2 linked regions of the Notamacropus eugenii genome follow. Each later gene encodes a partner of the first gene's protein in a complex. Links are inferred from orthologs where the notes say so. Each region holds a gene or a part of one and is shown in the gene's direction. Other genes may lie near its edges.

Region 1 (10,754 bases):
TATTTATAGTATTATTATTATTATATATAGTATGATTATATAGGGGATGGCAGTGGGGGGAGACTGAAAGCACCCAAGATTTCAGGAAGAAGAAAACTCATAGACTTTGAACATAAACAGATAAATCAACAGGAAAAATGGTGACAGCAGAAGGAAATATGGCCTCCAGATCTGGTAAATGAGTTTAGGCATCTATAAATAAATATTGCAAATTAAAGGAAAATGATCCAACACTTGATAAAACGGAGGACCCTGTCTATTCCTAAGTGGTCTAAAAGAAAAATAAGAATTATGAGAGAATTCATGTCCTGCACAGCAAAAATAATGAACAGAATAGAAAAATTTGAATCTGCAGTGACAAGACTCATCAAAGAAACAAAGAAGAGAATGATAGACTGCGACTGCAAAACTTAAGAGTGAAGGGCAACTTAGAAGAAAAGAAACAAAAAACAATAGCAGTTAAAAGAAAACATGCTCACTATGCAAGCAAAACATAATGAACTTAAAGACAGGCCACACAGACACAAGCTAAGGATTATAGGTCTTCTATAAGAACATAACAGAAATAATAGAAGAGAATAACTTAGAACTTCTAAACACATAAAATGAAATTCCAGTTGAAAAAATTCACAAATTGCTTTCAGAAAAACAAACAAACAAAACTTAACAATTCAACTCAGAAACAACAGAATCTTCAAATCATCAAGAAAAGGTCCTTCAAATACAAAGGAAAGGACATTCGAATAATGGAAGACTGTTCTATACCTACCAGAGAAAGGAGGAGGGATGTGTTCAGAGTCACCTATCCTGCAAATCTGAACTTAACCAGAGAGGACAAAAGACCTGGACATTCAATAATAAAGAAGAGTTAGAAATATTTTTAGAAAGAAAATCATAACTGAAGAGATTTGCCTCTCAAACACCCCAAAAAACATAAATGCAGGAGCGAATGAATGTTCTATTAAATGTAGAGACAGGAGTGAAGGCAGAAATTTGGTAGAGATAACAGCGAAGAGGCAGACTGGGGGTATTAAGGATAGAATTCAGCAACACTCTGTGTACAGGTGAGTTCTTCTTTTGTGGAACTATATTACAACACAGGAAGGTACATAAAAAGGTGGGAGAGGAGCAGGGAGATAGAGAAATAAGTGATGCAGTAGGGTCAAATCAAGGCCTACCAAAGAGGGGAACATGCTTGTGTGGTCTTAGAAAGAGAAGAACCTACAGAAGAGTGAGTGAGGAGTGGGGAAACACTGAAGGAAGAGGGGCAAAAGGAAGGAGGCCTTACTTTGGAAATGAGAAGGGGTTTTGCTGATGAACGCTCCTATGGGTTAAGAGAGAAGGCTGGGGAAGGCAGATGACTGGATGATACTTGGGGGATTTGGTGCTTAAAAGTCTACTTGTCCTAGGAGGGAGGAAGTTGGAATGCCTAGGGAAAAGTAGCATTTGGAGGAGTGGGAGAACATGGGGACACAAGGAGATTTCCAGGCAAATGTAGAAAAAATATCAACAAGAGAGGGTATAGATCAATGGTGACCCATCCAATTAGGGACAGGGTGGGTGAGGGGTCCTATCATGGGGCAATGTCCTCTCTGACAACTGAAATAAATAGCAATGTTCTGAGAGTATGGTACAATGGAAAAGGTAAATCCTTGGGGCAATTCCTATGAGGCAGTAGCAGAAAGCACCTACAAGGGAGATCCTGGAATGGATACTTTAGAAGCTTTGACTGCATGAAGAATACAGAGTAAAAAGAAAAAAAATAATTATAGGGGTCATGAATCAGAGAATGAGGGTCTAGAATAAACAGAAAGAGGGATAATGAAGAGAGTAAGAGAAACCCTTTTTGGAAAACGGTATAAAAAATGAAATTAGAAATCTAAGGAACAGAATTAACTGATTTGCAGGAGAGGAAGAAGAATCTATTTGACTGAGAGGAAAAAAAGGGAAAAGAAATATATAACCACATAATAGCAAGAGAGAAAAAGGAACTAATAAACAAAATCCTAAAGGGAAAGGGGTATCAAATGAAAAGAGGGGATCAGAGGTGTAGGGAAGAGAGCCAGTGGGAACAGGGCCACCTCAAAAAAAGATTAAAGTAATTGAAGGAACATAATACTGTGTTTATAGCAAAAGAGAGAACATGAAATGGAAAAGCTAATACTCGGAAGTGGTCAAATGAGAAAAAAAAATCTTTGTATTAAATTTCTCTGATAAGAGTTTGGTATCCTATAGATAGATAATCAATAAATACATATATATATAAAATAGCCATTTCCCAATAGATAAATGGTCAGAGGATATGAACAGTTTCCAAAAGAAGAACTGCAAAGTATTCACAACTCCATGAAAGAATGCTCCAAATCACTAGTAATAAAAAAAAAAATGCAAACCCAAACAAAACTGAAGTTTCACATCACACTTTATAAACCGGCAAAAATGATAAAAAATGGCAATCATCAAAGTTTGAGGGGTTGTTGGATGATTGGCATATTAATACATTGTTGGTGGAACTGTGAAATAGTACAACCATTTCAGAATTATGCAAATAAAGTGACCAAAATATCCTTTGAACTAGAGACTCCATAACTGAATTTATACCTCAAGGAAGCCACTGATAGGAAAAAAGTCCCCACATACTTCAAAATATTTATAGCAGCACTTTTTGTGATAGCTAAAAATTGGAAACAAAGTAGATGCCCATTAACTGGTAAACAATTAACCAAATTGTAGTGCACGAATGTAATGGAATATCACCATGCTATAAGAAATGATGCATGTGACAAAAAAGAGAAGTATGGAAAGATATATATGAACTGATATAGAGTGAATTAAGCAGAGGCAAGAAATCAACATACACAGTGACTACAACAATGCAAATGGAAAGAACAATGACTAAAAAAGTAAATGCAACAAAATTATAAAGATTAAGAAGGACTCAAAAGAAGAGATGACACTCCACACCTATCCTTTCATGGAGGTGGGAAGTGGACAGGTGTTACACATATTTTCAGACCTTTCTAATGTGTTTATCAGTTATACTGCCTTTTCTTCTATCTAAAAAAATACTTATCATATGCGATGGCTCTCTGGGAGCAGGAGGAGGCAGGGGAAAGATACATGGGAAATTGTGGTGATACAGAAATAGAAAACGTTAATAAAAACTAAAAAAAAAAAGAATTAAAGCTGGAAGGGACTTATGGAAACCATCTATTCCAACCTCTTCATTTTGTAGATGAATAAACTAAGACCCCCTTGTCACATATTTAGCAAACTGTAGTGTCAGATTTCAAACCCAAATCCTCTAACCCCAAATCTAGTTCTGCTTCTGATACAATAAGCTGCTAAATAAGTGTGTCCATTTATTTCTCATCACATCTCTTGGAAGTACTAGGACCAGAATCCAGGTCTCCTAATTCCTAGTCTGATGCTACCCCGTATATAATAAAAATATGTAAGGGAAGGAATAAGGCAGAATTTGAGCTTACCCTGAACGAAGATAAAGATTCTAAGATATGGAAATGAAGGAGTTCATTTCAGGTCGGGGGAATGGCTTGTGTCAGTGAAGAAAGGCAGGAGATGGATAATGAGTTCTTTCAGAAAAGGAAGTCTAAACAACGCATCTCAATGCTGGCTTGTTTTTGCCTTTATAATCTCAGTGCTTAGCACTGGAACATAATAGGTGCTTATTGTGCTTACTGACTTATGTCCGCTGAAATTATGAATAGAAAATGCATTTACAGAGTCACTGACTGACATAACTGCTAAAAATCCTACAGTGTATTTTAGGAGGATCAGTACACCACAGGGTGGCAGTGCTTCTCTAGGGATGAAAGAAAAAACAAACCCTTCACTACTTAGCTTTGCCAGGTTTCTGAGCAGAGATTCATAGTTTACCATTCTCATAAAAGTAGCTCCTCTTCCTGAATCACTGAGGTTGTTGGCAGCTTCCACACTTCAAATTCAGGGAGTCCTAGAGGAGTAGAGGCAGCTTCCATGTTTCTTATTAACCCTGAACAAAATCAAAGGATTTAGAACTGTAAGGTCATCTAGTTCAATCCTCACCTTTTAATTAATGTTTTTAAAAAATGTTTCATTAGTGGATTTTGTCTTTATGGTCATCTCTGGAAAAAGAAAAAAAACAACCACAAAACCCTCCCCTGCTCCAGATCAAACTCTCTCTTATGCCAAAAATTAACAATTAAAAAATATCCAAAATAATGATTGCATTTTATAAGAATGATAATACTATGTCCTCATAGATTTCCTCTCTCTTTCCCTTCCTCAATAATGCTAAGGAAGAAACGAAGACCTAGAGAGGAGAACAGTCTTTCCTAAAGTCAGACAGGTACACAGTAGCAGAGCTGGGATCTAAACCCTGATTCTAAATCTAAAAAGAAAGAGGCTCTCACACTTTTCCCATGTGATTTGTGAGGTGGGCCACTCCACACACCACATAAAAGGCACAGCTTTGGGTAATAGCAATGTGGACTCGAGGTAAAAAGGGATGACTTGACTATGTTCTTTCTATCCTTTGTGGCAGCTAGTGTGGGACTCAGAGTCAGGAAGACTCATCTTTCCCAGTTCAAATCTGGCCTAAGACACTTACTGTGTGACCGTGGGCAAGTCACTAGCTTCCTCATCTGTAAAATGAGCTGGAGAAGGAAATGGCAAACCACTCCAGTATCTCTGCCAAGAAAATGCCAAATGGGGTCACAAAGAGTCAGGTGTGACTGAATATGGACAATTTCTGTCCTCTGAAGACTAAAAAGTTAAAAGAGGAACAGGTCTAGGTTATTTAGGGGTCCTAGATCTAGGGAGATCCACAAGAACTAGCTTGTAGATGGAAGTCTTCACAAATCAGACTCAGAAAGCTTCCCAAGAGAGGGCTGGAGGTCATAAGGAGAGCCTTATGCCCCGGAAAACTGATTCAGTCCCCAAAGGGAGGGCCTTTCACCTTGGAAGGCTTCCCACAGAGAAGACTCCACAAAGTAGGCCTCAGACAGAGCTGGGAAAACCCATAATGTGGGTCTTAAAACTGGTGATCCCCAGGATTTGGGCGCTAGGCTAAGAAAGCCCCTCCTAGAGAGAGGCCCTTGTCCCTGCGTGCCCCACAAAATGGGCCCTATCCCTGGGGCACCCCATGAGGTGGGCCCTAAGCCAGGATGTCCCATGAGGTGGGTCCTACCCCCAGGGAGCCCCACGAGGTGGACCCTACCTCCGGGGCACCCCACGAGGTGGGCCCTAAGCCAGGGAGCCCCACGAAGTGGACCCTATCCCCGGGGCGCCCCACGAGGTGGGCCCTAAGCCAGGATGTCCCATGAGGTGGGTCCTACCCCCAGCGAGCCCCACGAGGTGGACCCTACCTCCGGGGCACGCCACGAGGTGGGCCCTAAGCCAGGGAGCCCCACGAGGTGGACCCTATCTTCGGGGCACCCCACGAGGTGGGCCCTAAGCCAGGGAGCCCCACGAGGTGGACCCTATCTCCGGGGCGCCCCACGAGGGGGGCCCTAAGCCAGGGTGCCCTCACAGAGGGGGCCTCAGCCCCAGCAGAGCCCCCACAGAAGCCGGGGCAGGGCAAAAACTATCTCAGGGCCCGCCGCCTGACGGGCTGCAGCCACCCAGGCGAACTTAGGAACGCGCAGTCCCAAGCTGGGGAAGAGTCAAAGGTCCCCACGCCTGACCACAGGGACCGGAGGACCCTAGGACCGCCTGCGGAGAGCGCCCCCCAGAGACTCGCCTGCAAAGGGCGGGGAGACAAGCGCGCGCCAAGCGCCTCCCGCTAAAGCAGAGCAGGCTTGGCCGCGCCAAAGGGGAGGGGGGATCTCCGTGACGTCCGCGTGAGGGCCGTGGGGATTGGTCGGAAGCGGCAGAGGCGGGGCCTCAGCCTGGACTGAGCGCGAAAGCTCGAACGGCTGTGGCGGGAGTTGAGTCTGCACAGAGGCTGAGGAAGTAGGGGCGGCGTCGGGCCCGGGGTCTGAGTGAACGGCGCTGGCGGCGGCAGCAGCGCTTCTAGTTCTTCCAGAGAGAAGCTCTCGTGTGCCGAAGGCCATGGCAGGCGAGGTGGCGGCTGAGGTGAGTGGGGGCACTGGGATACCTTTCACAGTCGGGGGAGGGGGTGGCGGTAATGTGGGGTGGGAACTACAAATCCCAGCATACCCCGCGGCTTCGGGGGACTACCGCTCCTGGCAGGAATTGACGGAAGCCGGTGGCGGGTGACAGGGGTTAGTTTCCCGATGGGTCCCTTAGGAATACGGGGATTAAAAGGTGCTCCGGCTTTGGGGTGCGAGAGAAGGTAAAGGGGGTTAAGTAGAGCGTGGATTCGGCGTCAGAGAGCCTAGGAAAGCCGGTTTTGATACGTCCTAGTCGTGTGAGCTTTAAGAGTCCCTTCTAATGATCGATCCCATAACATTTTATTTTGTTGGAAACAGCAGGGCTATGTAGGATCACGTGGTTCATAGATTTTAAAGCTGAATGGAGGCTTAGAGGTCATCTGGTCCGACCCTCCCCGGAGAAAATGAGGCATAAAGAGATTAAGTGATTAGTTAGGATAAACAGTACCAGGTCAAACCTGAACCTGGAAAATGGTCCTCCAGCTTCTATTGGAGCAGCCCAAGGCAGTCCGTTCTGGTTTTGGACAGCTTTAATGAAGAAATTTGGGGTTCCCCCCCTTTTACAGAGATCGAATCTGCCTCTTTCCAAACTCTTCTCATTTATTTTCTAGTTCTGGCTCCCCACCAAGCAAGACAAGGCTAATCCTTCTTCCACATGACAGCCTTCAAATATCCCAATTAAATTATCTTTTCTCTGAGCCAAAGCTTGTTACAAATATTATTTCAGTTGATACTCACAACTGGAAGATAGATGCTATTATTATCCATGTTTTACAGATGAGGAAACTGAGGCAGGCAGGTTAAGTGACTTGTCCAGGGTCGCATAGCTGTAAAGTGTTGGAGGCTGGATTGAATTTTAACTTAGGTCTTCCTGATTGGCCCTCTCTCCATTAGGTCATCTCAGTGGCAGTATTTCATTTTATTCTATCTACCTTGTTTCCAGTTCTTTGCGGTCACAAAAAAGTGTGGCTATATCAAAGAATCTGTAGGGTTGAGAAATTAGGCCTATAGTTTAGTAGTTGTTAGTGTCTTCTTGGTTAGTTCTGTTGAATCATTATGCCATCCACCATCTTTTCCAGTTTTTTAAGGAATCCTTTTATTTGAGATATCCTGAATATGTCCTCCAGATTATCTTTAAAATTGTGTAGCTTTCATTATTTATTTTGTCATGCAGGTACATTTTTTTTTAAAGAACTTCATTTTCCTGAGTGCCATTTACATTTCAGTGCCAGCACATCTGGAGTTCATATATAGTAGTTCCATTGTAATTGATTATGAGAATATATTTCTGTAAAAATGCTGGCAGATATGCTCCATTTTATTTATATATGTTTCCTTTCCAGTTTTGTAAAATACTGTTGGAATGATCTTTTTTATTTGAGTCTCACGTCAAGATTTCTGTAGACTCCTTTTCTCTAAGGCTTTCACAGTGTTTTCTGAGCTAAACTTCAGCTCTTCCTAAGAATTTGCAAATGCTCTTGTCTCACTTGGCTGCCATGTCTGCTTGACAAGGAGACTGAGTATTTCCTGGCTTTGTTTGTAAGTTTTCTCGCTTTTACTGTTTTGGTGATTGTTTTATATCAATTAAATTTCTCTAAGAATGGTGATAATCAGTTGATGTCTTTATTTTTGTCTATTATAAAAGTACTTTAGGGTCTGCAAACCACTACACATATTAACATGTTTGATCCTCACTAGAACCCTGTGAGATAGGTGCTATTACTGTCCCATTTTACAGATGTGGGAACTCCAGGCACAAAGTGATTTTCCCAGGGTCACACAGTAATAAGTGTCTAAGGCAGATATCAAACATGGGTTTCATATGTTATATTTCTATATATTATATAGTTCCATGTCCAGCAATCTGTACCACTAACTGTGTGTTTCATTTTTTCTTTCAGAGCTAAGAGCTTATATAAATACATTAGGTAGGAATTGTTGTAAATCCATCTAGTATTTACTCATCTTTATCCTTTTTCTAATTACTTTGACCTTTGCTCTAATTATTCCAAGATCTGACTGAATTCATACAGTTGATTCAGTTTTGTTAAGTGCCTACTATGTGACTGCACTGTGCTAGGTGCTACAGATGCAAAGACAAAGAGAAAACAGTTCCTGGTTTCAGGGACTTTACATTCTGTTGGAGAAAACATGTACATAAGCATATGCAAAATATATTAAACTATAAAAACAGAATTATGCTTAGTAACTAGTTGCTTCCAGAAAGTAGAGGGTGAGCTACATCTAATCAGCATCCTGAAAGAATTATGTGTTGGTTACCTAATAGGATCAGAATATCAGACTTCTAAGATTGTCTACTAGGGAACCTTCCATTGCCCACTAAATAGTAACTGTTTCTTTTACCCAGGGACCCTGAGGGTCTTCCCCTGCCAGTTTGGTTTTGTTTTTTTTTTTTTGGATTAAAGAGGCCATCCCTTGAAGCCTATTCATTGAAAGGGTGGATCTCACTCAAAGTGAGAAAGTGATAAGACAGCCTGAAAGGGCCAGGGTCTCACATTGCATCCTGGGCCATCTCCAGTCGGAGAATATCAGGCCACTGGACCTAAGAAGAAAGTCAGGTTGGTGACTTTTTACAGCCCTCCCTCACTCAAAGCAAAGTCAACTGCATGTCATTATCTTGATGTCATGGTCCTCTTCGAGAATGAAGGACAAACACAACGGCCAGAGGTGGGGAACCTGTGACCTCGAGGACACATGTGGCTCTCTAAGCCCTCACGTACAGCCCTTGAAGTTTGGATTCGGTCAAAGAGCCACACTTGAGGATCTAGAGGGCCACATGTGACCTGGAAGTTGTAGCTTCCCCTCCCCAGAGTTTAGTCTAATGTTGTCCTTTCCTCTTTTCAGAAAAATACCTATTATCAGTCTTTGGTATTTATGTTAGCCACTTTACCCCTCCCTTGTGAAAAGAAAAAAGCAAAAACATCCAATAAAGTGATCCCATCTGGTAACATCTACAATATTCTGTTCTAGTTGTTCCTTACGTTTCTGTCATGAGCTGCAGTTATATTTTAATAGTAGCTCTGTTGAATTGTCTTTGACTTTTTCGATGACTTTTTGTGATCTTTTAATTTATGTTATTGTAAATGTATGTATAGTATCTGTATATTTTTCTTAGTTTTCATTTTACTCTGTATCAGTTCATAAAGATTTTCCATGCTTCTAATTTAACCATTTTGTATTGAACAATACTATTCCATTATTTTCATATACCTTAGGTTTTTCAACCATTTCTAATAGATAGGTGCCCATTTTGTTTCTAGTTCCTTGCTGTGACAAAGAGTGCTGCTGTGAATATTTTGGTATATGTTGATTCTTTGTTTTCATCTTTGATTCCACTGGGGTATGTGCCAGGGATAAATGGTTCAAAGGGAGAGACATTTCAGTCCCTTTTCTTATATAACTCCAAATAGACAGCTAGGTGGGACAGTAGATACAATGCATGGCTTGCGAATCAGGAAGAACTTAGTTCAAATCTGGCCTCAGACACAAAGTGACCCTGGGACCTCTGCTCTGCCTGCCTCAGTTTTCTCAGCTATGAATTTGGAATAATAATAGTACTTACCTCCCAGGGTTGTTGGGAGGATCAAATGAGATGATATTTGTAAAGCATTTAGCATAGTGCCTGGCATGTGGGTAAGCATTATATAAATGCTATTAGTAATGAGGAGGAGGAGGAGAGGGAGGAAAATGATGCTGCTGATGATATCCAGAGTGGTTGGACCATTTCCCAGGTCTCCATCAGTGTGCCTGTCTTCCCACAGCCCCTCCAACACTATTTGTATCTTTTATCATCTTTGCCATCTTTGCCTCATAAGAGCTGAAATCTCAGAGTTGTTTGAATTGTATTTATTCTCATTATTAGTGAGAGGCTGTTTTCATGTGGTCAAAGTCTGTGATTTGTCATTTGAAAATTGTTCATGTTGTTTGACCTGTTAGGAAACTTGATGATAATTAGATGTTTGTGTCAGTTACTTCTATATGTTGGATTTCAGACCCTTTTTTAAAGTAATATTTGCTGCAAATACTTTTCCCCACTGATAATTTCTTTTCTTATTCTATCTTCATTGATTTTATTTGTGCAAAAATCTTTTAGTTTTAAGCAGTGAAAGTTATCCATTTTATATTTTATGATCTCCTTTATCTCTTATTTAGTTGAATTCTTCCTCCAGTCATAGTATGAAAGATACCTGATTTCATTTTTTAAAATTTATTTCCTATGGTGTGACCTTTCATATTTAGATTGAATACCCATTTTGAGCTTTTGTAGTATTTGATCTAAGATATTAGTCTAAATCTAATTTTTGTCAGACTGCTTCCCCAAGAATTCTTGTCAGAAAGGGAATTCTTTTTATAGAAATTTATTTACTTGGGTTATCAAATACTGAACTACTGTTTTCAGTTGCTTCTATTACTTCATTGTCTAGTATGTTCTGCTGATGTACTTTTCTGGATTTTTTTTTAAAATCAGTACTCAATAGTTTTAATGATTATTGCTTTATAATATAGTCTGAGATCTGGTAATTATATGCTCTCTTTGTTCATACTTTTTCTCATTATTTCCATTTTTATGCTAGACCTTTTGGTCTTTCAAATGAGCTTTATCATTATTTCACCTAATTC
Region 2 (10,797 bases), about 89 Mb from region 1:
GTAGTAAGTCACTAGAGGAAAGATTTAAACCTAGGCCCTCTGATTCTAGAGTCAGTACTTTTCCTACTTTTTTACATTTATTGGACATAGTTAAAACTGAAAGAAAATGTATCTAGTATTCCTATTTGGAGCCATTCTCTTCTAGCAAACTTACAAACTACTTCCTGCTTGCCTGCACCCACAACTTATGGGAAGTAGTAAGGAAACAGTGTAGATATACAGAACTTGTCTCAAGATCCCAGAATATAGGAGGGAAAGAAAGAGAAAGAGGGAGAGTTTTGGAAATGAATCTCCCTTTCCTCTCTCAGTAGTCCAACTGTATTCATAATCACTAATAGTTTCAGCAATTGGGATATCCCATTGTTATGGCTCCCACCTACATATCTGCCCCAGGCTCAGAATCTCCCCATAAAATGCTGGTCTCTAGCAGTCTTAGTCGCAGTCACGAGCCAATAGAATCTCAGGTCACTACAGTCCCAATCTCGGCCATTCTGGGCTGCCTTGTGGAAACCTGATAGAAACCTCCCAATATAATGGAGCTGCCTAACGCCCTAGATGCCATCATTATGACTAGGAAGTTGAAATCTCAAGGCTAGCAGTAGGAAACAGAGTTGGCTAATCTTAGGTGGTAGGGTATAGACCTTGTATCTCTTATCAGGCAATTCCTTGTTGATTATGAGATTATGAGTGGCTTCTAATGAAGGTGGAAGGGCAATCAGACAATCTTCATCTAAGGCTCAAAGTAAAATAGTAAGTCAGAAGATGAATGCAAGATGAAGGCACACTATTATCCTATATTGGGCTTCCTTGCTCAAAAATTAGATTGTTCACCAATAATTAGCACATTTACAGAGAAAAGGTTTAAAAGTAATTTTTTAGATTCAAATTACTTTCACTTCTTCTTTGGTGCTATTTTTTATATAACTTCAAGAAATTTTTAGCACAGGTCCTCTAAATCTAGAAGTGTCCTGTGTTTCTGTTTCATCTCTGTCTGAGACCCTGAGACCCCCAGTTTTCACTGATAGTTCCTTCCCAATTCAATTTACTTAAGCATTTATTAAGCACCTACTATATGCCAGGCATTCTATTGTGAATAAAAACACAAAATGAAAGTTTTTGCCCTCAAAGAGCTTACATTCTATTGGGGAAAAACAACATATGCACAGATAAATTTTTTAAAATCCAAAGTAAAAAAAAAAGTAAATATAAAATAATATGGTGGTGGTAGTGGTGGTCCACTAATAACTGGAGGGATCAGGAAGGTTCTCCTCTAGGACTTTCAGAACCTTTGTAGTATTTTGTGCCTTTTACTTGGCAACACGGATAATTTTTTTTTTCACAGATACATTTTCACAGATCCCAAGTTTTTTTAAAAAGTTAACAAAAAGTAATATGGGACTGCGGGTAGTGGTGAGGGCACTAATAACTGGAGGCATGAGGAAAGTTCTCTTCAGGAGTCCCAGAACCATGGTAGCATTTTGTGCCAGTCACCTGATACTTAGCCATATGTTACCTTAGGGCAGGGGTGGGGAACCTGTGGCCTCCAAGTCACATGTGGTCTTTTAGGTACTTGCCTGAAGCCTTTTGACAGAGTCCAAGTTTCACAGCAAGAGGATTTGTTCTGTAATGTTTGGATTCAGTCCAAGGACCTAGAAGGTTACATGTGGCCACAGATTCCCCACCCCTGCCTTAGGGCATCATAGCATTTGACCTGGTGACCCTCTAGTTCAAATCCCTCATTTTGAAGATGAGTAAGTGAAGAGATTATTCAACCCTTTGTAGATACTTTAAAAATCTACTAATCTACTTTTTAGATACTTTAAAAATACTACTAATCTACTAAAAATCTAAAAATACTCTAAAAACCTTATCAATTAGACTTTTAGCCCATTAAGTGCAAAGGCCAGTCTTATAAGACTTAATATCTCCAATATGGAGCATGGTGTCTGAAATACAGTAAGCATTCATTGGTTACACGAAGACAGGAGATATTCTTCTCCCTTTTCCATCTTGACCCCTTAGTAAACCAGTTTAAGTCTACACTGTTGTCTTCTCTTGAACCCCTTGCCCTTTTTTCCTATCACCAATCTTGCCCTGCTCCATCTCAGCCCTGTAATGCTCCCACCATAAGCTATCTTCACTCTTATTCATGTGTTTCAAAATGAATCTGGAGAAAATCAGTTGATCAATAAATATTAAGCATCTATTACGTGTCAGGCACTGTTGCTTAAGCACTGGAAACCACAAAGCCATGGTGATAGCATCCAGTGGAGGGAGAGTTGGTGCGTGATATTTTGTTTGTAGGTGATTGTGCCCTCATTGAAGCCTCTGAGGCCAAAACACAACAAAGTATGGATTGTTTCTCTGCTGCTTGTAGTTCTCTGCCTAACAATTAACACCAAGAAAACAGATTCTCTACCAGCCAGTACTGCACCATCCATACGTGGAACCATCAGTTACAGCAAATGGAGAGATTTTGAATGCTGCAGATAAGTTCACTCACCTTGGCAGTGTACTTTCCAGGGATGTATACACAGATGATGAGGTTGATTCACACATCACCAGAGCTAGCTCAGTGTATGAGTGGCTCAGAAAGAAAGTGTGGGAGATCAGAGGTATTAGACTGCCTACCAAACTGAAGGACTACAGAGGCACTGTGCTGACCTCATTGTTGTAAGCCTGGGCAGTATACCAGCACCATGCCAGGAAACTGAATCACTTTAATTTGAATTGTCTTAGGAGGATTCTGAAGATCACTGAGGTTCTTTCTCAAGCTAAATTTCCAAGTATTCAAACTACTGCAAAGAGTGCAACTCCAATGGGCTGGCCATGTTGTCCAAATGTCAAACATATGGCTGCCTAAAAGATATTTTATAGAGATCTCACGTGGAGGTCATTTTCAAGATCTCTCTGAAGAACTCTGGAATCTATTGCATGACATGGGAGATGCTGGCACAACACCTCCCAGCATGGGGTGCCCATATAAAAGAAGGCACTGTGCTGTATGAGCAAAGCAGAGTTGCAATAGCTCAAAAGAAATGTGAAATGTGCAAATTTAGAGACATCTCCACTCCAAATGTGGATTCATGTGAACCATTTGTGTTAGACCTGTGGTAGAGCTTTTCAAGCTTATATTTATCTAATTGACCACAGTTGGATAACTTGTATCTTGACTCCAATAGACTGATGTCATTTTAGTCTTTGAGAATAAAGGACAAAAACCAATCAACCAATATTATATGTGTATGTGCGTACATTAACAAAGTTATGCTAATTAGGCCCTCCCTGCTTCAAGACAGTCCTTTTTGTACCTCCCTAATTAGCTCATTTTCCCACTCAGCACAGTGACTTTTCCAAACCTTTTGATCACTTTTCAAAACTCCCGTAACTCCCCTTTCCCTTATCCTTTCAACTGAAAACCTTGCCTCATACTTCATTGAAAAAAATTGTGGCCATTTCCTGAGAGCCTGCTTTTCCCTCTCAATTCACATCTAAGATGAACCTTCTCCTTGTCAAGGCAACCCCTATAAACATACATGTGGCCCTATTCTAACTCATCTTCTCCAGTATATTTCCCCCTCTATCATTCCTCTTTTCTCACATCTGTAATTTCTCTACTTCCCTAATGCCTACAAATATACCCATTTCTCTCCCATTCTCAAAAAATACTTGATCTATCCATCCCTCATAGTTACTACGCCAAATCTCTCCTCCCTTTTGTGGCTAAACTCCTTAAAAAAGTCATCTAAAATAAGTGCCTCCTCTTCCTTTCCATTCTTAACTCTCTATGGTCTGGCTTCTGATCTCATTATTCAATTGAAACTGTCTTTTCCAAACTTACCAATGAACTCATGCCACATCTAATGACCTTTTCTCAATTCTTAACCTTGACTTCTCCACAGCTTTTGACACTGTTGATTATCCCGTTCTTCACATTTCTTTCTCTGTAGGTTTTCCTGACTCTCTCTTGGTTCTCCTTTCTATTTGACTACCCATTTTCAGTCTCCTTTAGATTTTCATCCAGATCCTGCCTGCTATTCATAGGTGTCCCACAGGGTTCTGTCCTTGGCCCTCTTCTTTTCTCCCTTTCATTTGGTGGTCTTATCAGCTGTTGTGAAATTCAATTATCTCTATGCTAATGATTCTCAAATCTACTTATCTAGCCCTAAACTCTTTGCTTATCCCAAACTGGCATCTCTAAATGGATGTCCCATAGATCTGAAGTCATCTTCTTTGCCCCTCCAAACCTTCCCCTCTCCCTAACTTCCTTATTTTTGTTAAGAGTAACATCATCCAGTTACCACGGCTTCCAATCTTGCTGTCGTCTTTGATGCCCTCACTCTAATGCCCCTTATCCAATTTGTTGCCAAGTCCTGTCAACTTTACCTTTGCAAACTCTCTCATATTCACCTCCTTCTTGATGTCACTGCCACCATCTTAGTGATGGCCCTCATCAGCTCAAGTCTTACCTATTATAACAGCCCATGTTGTTTTTCCTTGCCACAAATTTCTCCTCACTCCAGGCCATCTACTACTCAGCTGCCAGTGCAGGTTGACCATGTCCTGCTCTTCCCCACCCCCATTACATGGCTTCATATCACTTCCAGGATCAAATAGCACACCTCATTGCCTTTTAAAGTCCCTTATCACCTGATCCTCCACCTCAACTTTCCAGTCTTCCAATAATCTTACATCTGCCATGTACTTTGCAATTCAGTGACCCTGGCCTCCTTATTGGTCCTCAAAAAAGACACTGAATTTCTTGCATTTCTACTAGCTGTTTCCTATGCCTAGGATTCTCTCTTTTCCTTTCTACCCCTTAGCTTCCCTATTCTCTAGCTTCCTTCATATCTCATCCAAAATCCTGTCTTTTACTGGAAGACTCTCCTGATTCCCCTGAATTCTAGTGCCTTTCCTCCACTGATTATCTCTAATTTGTTCTGTATATGCCTTGTTTGTACCTAATTGTTTACATGCTTTCTCCCCCTTTAAACTCAAGCTCCTCAAGAAGAGGGATTATCTTTTGCTTTTCTTTATATTCCCAGTGATTACCATAGTATTTGTCACACAGTAGTGCTTCTAGGCAGCTAGGTGACACATTGGATAGAGTGTGGGACCAAGAGTTCATATCTGGCCTCAGATAACTTGTTAGTTTTGTGATTCTGCAGTTCATTTAATCTCTGCCTCCATTTAGCAGGGTTATTGTAAGGATCGTATAAAGTATTTGTAAAGCATTTAGTACAGTGACTGGCGCATAATAGATGCTACATAAATGCTTATTCCCTTTCCTTCTCCTAATAAATGTTTATTGACTGAGACGGAAATTTAATCAACAAGTATTATTATGCATGACAATGTGTGAAATGCTGGGGATACAAAGAAAGGTGAAAGAAAATACCTTTAAGGAGTTCATGATCTAATTGGGGAGACAACAAACAATAACGTACAAACAAAATCTATACAGGATTAAGTTGGACATACAGAGGAAAGGCACTAATAATTAAAGAGGGCTGAGAAAAGCTTCTTATAGATTTTAGCTGAGATATAAATGAAGGCAGGGAAGCCAGAAGGAGGGAGAAAATTCCAGTCGTGGAATAGAAGTGAAAATACAGAGTCGAGGATGGAGTGTTGTTGGGTGTATGTGTGTATGTGTGTGTCTGTGTGTGTCTGTGTGTGTGCGTGTCACAGTGAAAAGGTCAGTGTCACTGGATCACACAGTATATGGAGGGGAGTAAAGTGTAAGAAGACTAAAGCTAAGAAGAGGTCAGGTTATGCAGGACTTTAAAAGCCAGAAAACTTCATATTTTATTCTGGAAGTAATAGGGAGCCAATGGAGTTTATTGAATAGGGAGATATTATCAGACTTATTTTTAGGAAGATAATGCAAATGTTATTTGTCCCCACTTTATAGGTGAGAAAATGGGCTCAGACAACTTGTGCTGGGGAAACAGTGTGAAGTAGTAAGAAAAGTACTTGCTTCTGGAGTCCAAAAGACTTTAATCTACTGGGCTGTGGAACTCCCATCCTGGGCCTGAGTTGAAATGATTACTATATAAGGACAAATTCAGCTAGCCTACTATATGTAGCAACCCCCCAGCCAGACCATATTCCACAGCTCATCAAAATCATCTTGCCATCTGCCCTGCTGCCAAAGAGGGCATGTCACCTCTTCACCCAACTCCCAAACATATACACTTTCTACTTTTTGCTCTTGAAAACAGTAACTCAATGCAATTAACAAGTTATCAGTTCTGAAACTACCCAGAGGAAAGTTCTTTCCCTGGTCACCACTTCTTTATATGTACAGTCACCCTGATTAAAATGTCAGTTCTGTGGGGGGCAAGGGTTGTCTTACTTTTGTATTCCCAGTACTTGGCATAGTATTCAAATAAATGTTTTAATAAATGCTTTTTCTTTTATTCAGTCTTGCCACTTGCTCCTTGGGTGACCTTTCAAACGCCATTTCATTGCTCCATTTCAGTTTCCTCCTCTATAAAATGAGGCAGTTGGGCTAATTAATTGTTACGGTCCTGTACATCTCTAACAATCTATCCTTTGGATATCTATTAGCCAAGAAACTATATTTATTCACGGATTGGTAACATACAAGTTTAACCAACATGTCTTTTCAAAGCTTGGATTCTGATTTTTAGCCACCAACTTGCAGGCAAAGCAGTCCAGGACTGCTAGATAGTAGAATTAGGAATAGTGCTTACAGACGGTGACAGACATAGGATTTAGGACTGGAAAGGATCTAGTTCAACCCCCTTCATTTTAGAGATGGAGAAATTTGAGACTAGTAAAAGTAAAGAGTTCCCTTCAAGCCACATAAGGATTAAAAACAACTATTCCTCTGACTCCAAATCTTTCATTCTTACCACTATGGTATCACTTAATATTTAAAGGTAGGCATGTTTATTGAACGAGAATAAGTGATGATATGCAGGGCATTCTGCTAGGCCCTGGGAAATACATAAAGTCCTTGTCTAGTTAGAGTAACTAGGGGCAGTGAGGGGGCAGAGTGGATAGGGTTGGGTCTGGAATCAGGAAAACCTGAGTTCAAATACAGCTTCAGCCACTTGTTAGTTGTGTGACCTCAGGCAAGTCACTTAACCTTATTTGCCTGTTTCCTCATCTGTAAAATGAGCTGGAGAAGGAAATGCCAAATCACTCCAGTATCTTTGCCAAGAAAATGCCAAATGCAGTCATGAAGAGTTGGATATGACTGAACAACCACAAAACAAGAATAACTACATTACACAGTATTACATGAAAGTGACAAAATAAAATGCTATCGAGATATCTGTAGAAGAAGGCGGTTACTGATCCATGCATAACAAAGGAGCTCAGGTTTCAGGAGAAAAGGGCATCTAAGTTGGGAAGAAAAGGTTGATTAAAGAATGGGGACAGCCATGATCCAGGAAAGCTGGATCTCCCTTGGAGATGCAACCTGCCAACTGTTTCTATCTATGGATATTACAGCTATAACTACGGAAGACCCAAAAAAGGCCACCAACATTTTTGGCATTGTCAAGTGGTTCAACAACAGAAAATGATTAACGATTTTATCTGTGGAAATTAAAGTTGAGGACTTGCCATGTGCTTGCCTATGTTCCTCTAGGGACCAGTGGACCTTTCCATCTGACTTGCAGCTGAAACTTCCTACTACATGGTGTCAGGGCCTGCCTCCCCTTTCTATTTGTATCCCCAGAGCTTCACAGTGCACACTGTAAGTGATTAATTAAATGCTCACTTTTTCCTTCCTCCCCGCTTCCCTCCCTTTTCTGCTTCTTTTTTCCTCCCTTCTTTTCTTTCTCTCCCTTCTTCCCTTCTCTGTTTTCTTTTTTCTTCCTTTCCTCCTTCCCTTGCTTCCTCGTTGGACGAAGGGTTGATTGCAGTTAAATTTGGGTTTGATGTCAGAAAAAACAATTAGTTATGGAGAATAGGCAGGGTTCACTCGGGAGGAGGAAAGCCACTAAAAGAAACTAACCCACCACCAGCACATCGTGGGATATTAGAAGCCCATGCCGGGCTCACTCTGTCCTCTGCCCATGTGACTGGGCTGAAGGCTGCCTCCCTTAGGCTCCACTGTTGTTGAGGTCCAAAGACATATTCGTGAATTGGATTTAAGCGGGGCAGTTGCCCAACATGCGGTGGGTGGCCTTGGCCTTTCTAAATTAAGGTCTCCTGGCTAGTTAAGTAGCAGAACTGAGACTAGTAAAATAGGATCATAAAGATTCTATGATTATCTTATTGGAGATAATCCTTCTTAGGGTGAGAAGGTGAATTAGAGGCTTTTAAGGTCTCCTCCAACCCAAAAGGCACTCATGCCCGAGTCCAGGTGATTATCCTTTTAGACCGAACTTCTTTGGAGGAAGAAGTGTCTTTTGAGACACTAAGCGGTTGACTTCTCCGGCTTCGCTGTCTACACCGATCAGATTCAGGAGAAATGGTAAAGTCTTTGCTTCCTTGCCTTTATAGACACGGCCCTGGATTTGGGATTTTCGGGGCCTCAGCGACCAACACGCTAGCTTCCCGATGCCCGGACCGCGCGGCTGAGGCTCCGCTAGGCTGGCTCGGGCTTCAGCGTGGGCGCCTGCCTGGCCTTGCGCCCGGACGGAGGAAACATTGTATCCCCTGCAGCGGACGTGCTCCTCCAGCGCTTCTGGACCCCCTCCCCCAGCCGCCCATTCCTGCTGTTTCCAACTCTACCTTTCCTGGGGCTCTGCAGAACGCAGTCTACTCCTGCGGTCACCCCCGCCCGGCCCGCCTCGGCCCGGCGCCCTCTCCGGCCGCGGGAGCGCGCACGGCCTCCTCGCTTTACGGCCACGGAGCGCGCACGTTTGCTGTCGTGAGGCGACTGGCGAATTTTGGCGGGAAAGGTTCCGCGTTTGGATTCCTCCGGCGGCGGCGGCTCGGTAAGCAGGTCCCGGGGGTCCTGGCCGGGCCTGGTTCCGTGAGGAGGGGGAGCGGTGGACCCGGGCTCTGGCTGCGAGGCGCGGGCACAGGGCGGCAGGGAGGGAGAGGGGCCTGCAGAGCGGCGCTCTGAGCCAGCTCCAGGGACAGGAGGCCGGACTCGTCAGGGCCGGACCAGAGGCTCCCCCCGACCCCCGTCCGGCGGGAGCGCCGCCCGAGGAGGAGGGGGAGAAGGAGGGGCAACCCCTCTTCCCTATCCTCCCCTCCCCCTGGCCCCGCCCCCGCCTCCCGGGACGGGGGGAGGGGGCCGCCTCGGCGTTCTCCCGGTGTGACCGAGCCGGAAGGCACCTTAGAATAGTCTACGCTCAGTCCTCGTCCTACGGGAGACGAAACCGAGGCTCCGAGAGGGGAGGGTCTCCCCTGAGGTCAGCCAGCCCCTGGGGATTAGAACCCGGATGCCCTGACTCTCCGTCCAGCCCCGCTCCTCGCTCCCCGCCTTCGCCCCTCCGTGGCCCTTTAAGGGCTCTGAGAGGGGCGGGGCTGCCGGGGTTTGTTTGTGCGGCCCGGGATTGCCGACCCCGCGGAAGTGGCGCTTCTGAGCGGACGCCCGAGAGGCTTGGAGGGTCTTGCCCAAAGTCAGAGTCAGAATGTGCCCCTGGAGGCTGGCACCGTACCCGCTAAGCCGCACCGGCATTCCGCGATGAGTAACTACGAGTCACAGGATGGATATATGTAAAGGGGTCGGAGGTTACGTGGTAAAGACCTTGTTAGTGTAAGGTGGGGGAGGGAGGCTAGTAGGAGGCTTAGTGAAGGCTTGCACTGACCTGGCCTCCGTGTCTGCTGCTTCTGCTTCAGGGAGGCCCTTCCTGGTGGAGCCATGGCTGTGCCCTTTGTGGAAGACTGGGATTTGGTGCAGACTTTGGGAGAAGGTGCTTATGGAGAGTGAGTATGAGCTCCCCTCTTGTTCTGCTGTCTTCTACACAGGTGCAGGACATAAGTTTGGGATACTATTGATAACACCGACTGGGACTTGTGTAGCATTTCCGTAAGTTAAGAGAGCTGACCTAAATTCATGCCGGTTTACAAATATACTTATCCTTTTTTGATCCTTGCAACTACTTGATGTGGTAGGTAGTGAAAACTGAAACTAAATAGGTTAAGTGACTTTTTGTAGAAATAGCAGAACCTACTATGATCTCAAGTCTTCTGGCTCTTGAGACTAGTGTTTTTTACATCACCTGTTTGCCATTCTTAGGTGCTTGCTACCTACCGGTAGATTTTAGACTAGTAGTTTAGATTGGAGGTGTCAGACTCATCTGGGCAACTCCTGAATGTGTCCCATACCGCAATAAAATGTAACAGGGAAATGTTTAACAAAATGAGTAAAAGTACAGTACAACATGGACGATGGTCATTTGTGGTTTCTAACTAAATATGTTGCCTGTAGGGATGCATTTCTATTCGATATCACTGATTTAGATGACTAAATTTAAGGTTTGGAGGAAGTCCAGGTATGTAATACTAATTTGGAATAAATTTAATTTTACTTCTTCCCTTCTCCAGTTATCACAAAAACATTTCCTACTGTAGAAACTTTCAGAAGTTTCCCTACATATAGTGTTGTGATGTTTTATTTAGCAGGACAGCCAGTATTGCACTATTCTGTTTTGTTTCTGGTTTCTGTTGTAGAATACTAAGGTTGAAAGAGACATTGTATCTCTTATCTCTTAAACCATCCAGTATAGCTTATGAAGTATGATGGTGATGAAACATTTTCCTTATGACAACACCACCGTTAAGTTTGGTACTATTTTGTTAATTAGGGGAGTCAAAGCCATTATTGTGGCAATCATTACTGACTAACCATCAGCAGTTCCAGGT

Evidence for each region. Proteins that work in one complex are often made in the same cells at the same time.
Region 2: the proteins of CLSPN (region 1) and CHEK1 are in contact, whole or in part, in a crystal structure (PDB 7AKO), measured with the Homo sapiens proteins. The link is inferred for Notamacropus eugenii from reciprocal best matches to the Homo sapiens genes CLSPN and CHEK1. Residues at the interface, in NP_071394.2 of Homo sapiens: Glu938, Leu940, Leu941, Leu943, Cys944, Ser945, Gly946; in NP_001107593.1 of Homo sapiens: Lys53, Lys54, Cys57, Met61, Arg129, Thr153, Val154, Phe155, Arg156, Tyr157, Asn158, Arg160, Glu161, Arg162.

What each region holds. Positions count from the first base shown.
Region 1 is NC_092876.1:83,925,402-83,936,155, forward strand, and holds the start of CLSPN (claspin), read left to right. Parts: upstream 1-5,813; 5' UTR 5,814-6,051; coding exon 6,052-6,075; intron 6,076-6,207; exon of another isoform or gene 6,208-6,295; intron 6,296-10,754.
Region 2 is NC_092876.1:172,600,027-172,610,823, forward strand, and holds the start of CHEK1 (serine/threonine-protein kinase Chk1), read left to right. Parts: upstream 1-6,572; 5' UTR 6,573-8,449; coding exon 8,450-8,918; intron 8,919-9,474; exon of another isoform or gene 9,475-9,671; intron 9,672-9,771; coding exon 9,772-9,961; intron 9,962-10,797. UniProt on the Homo sapiens protein: Serine/threonine-protein kinase which is required for checkpoint-mediated cell cycle arrest and activation of DNA repair in response to the presence of DNA damage or unreplicated DNA.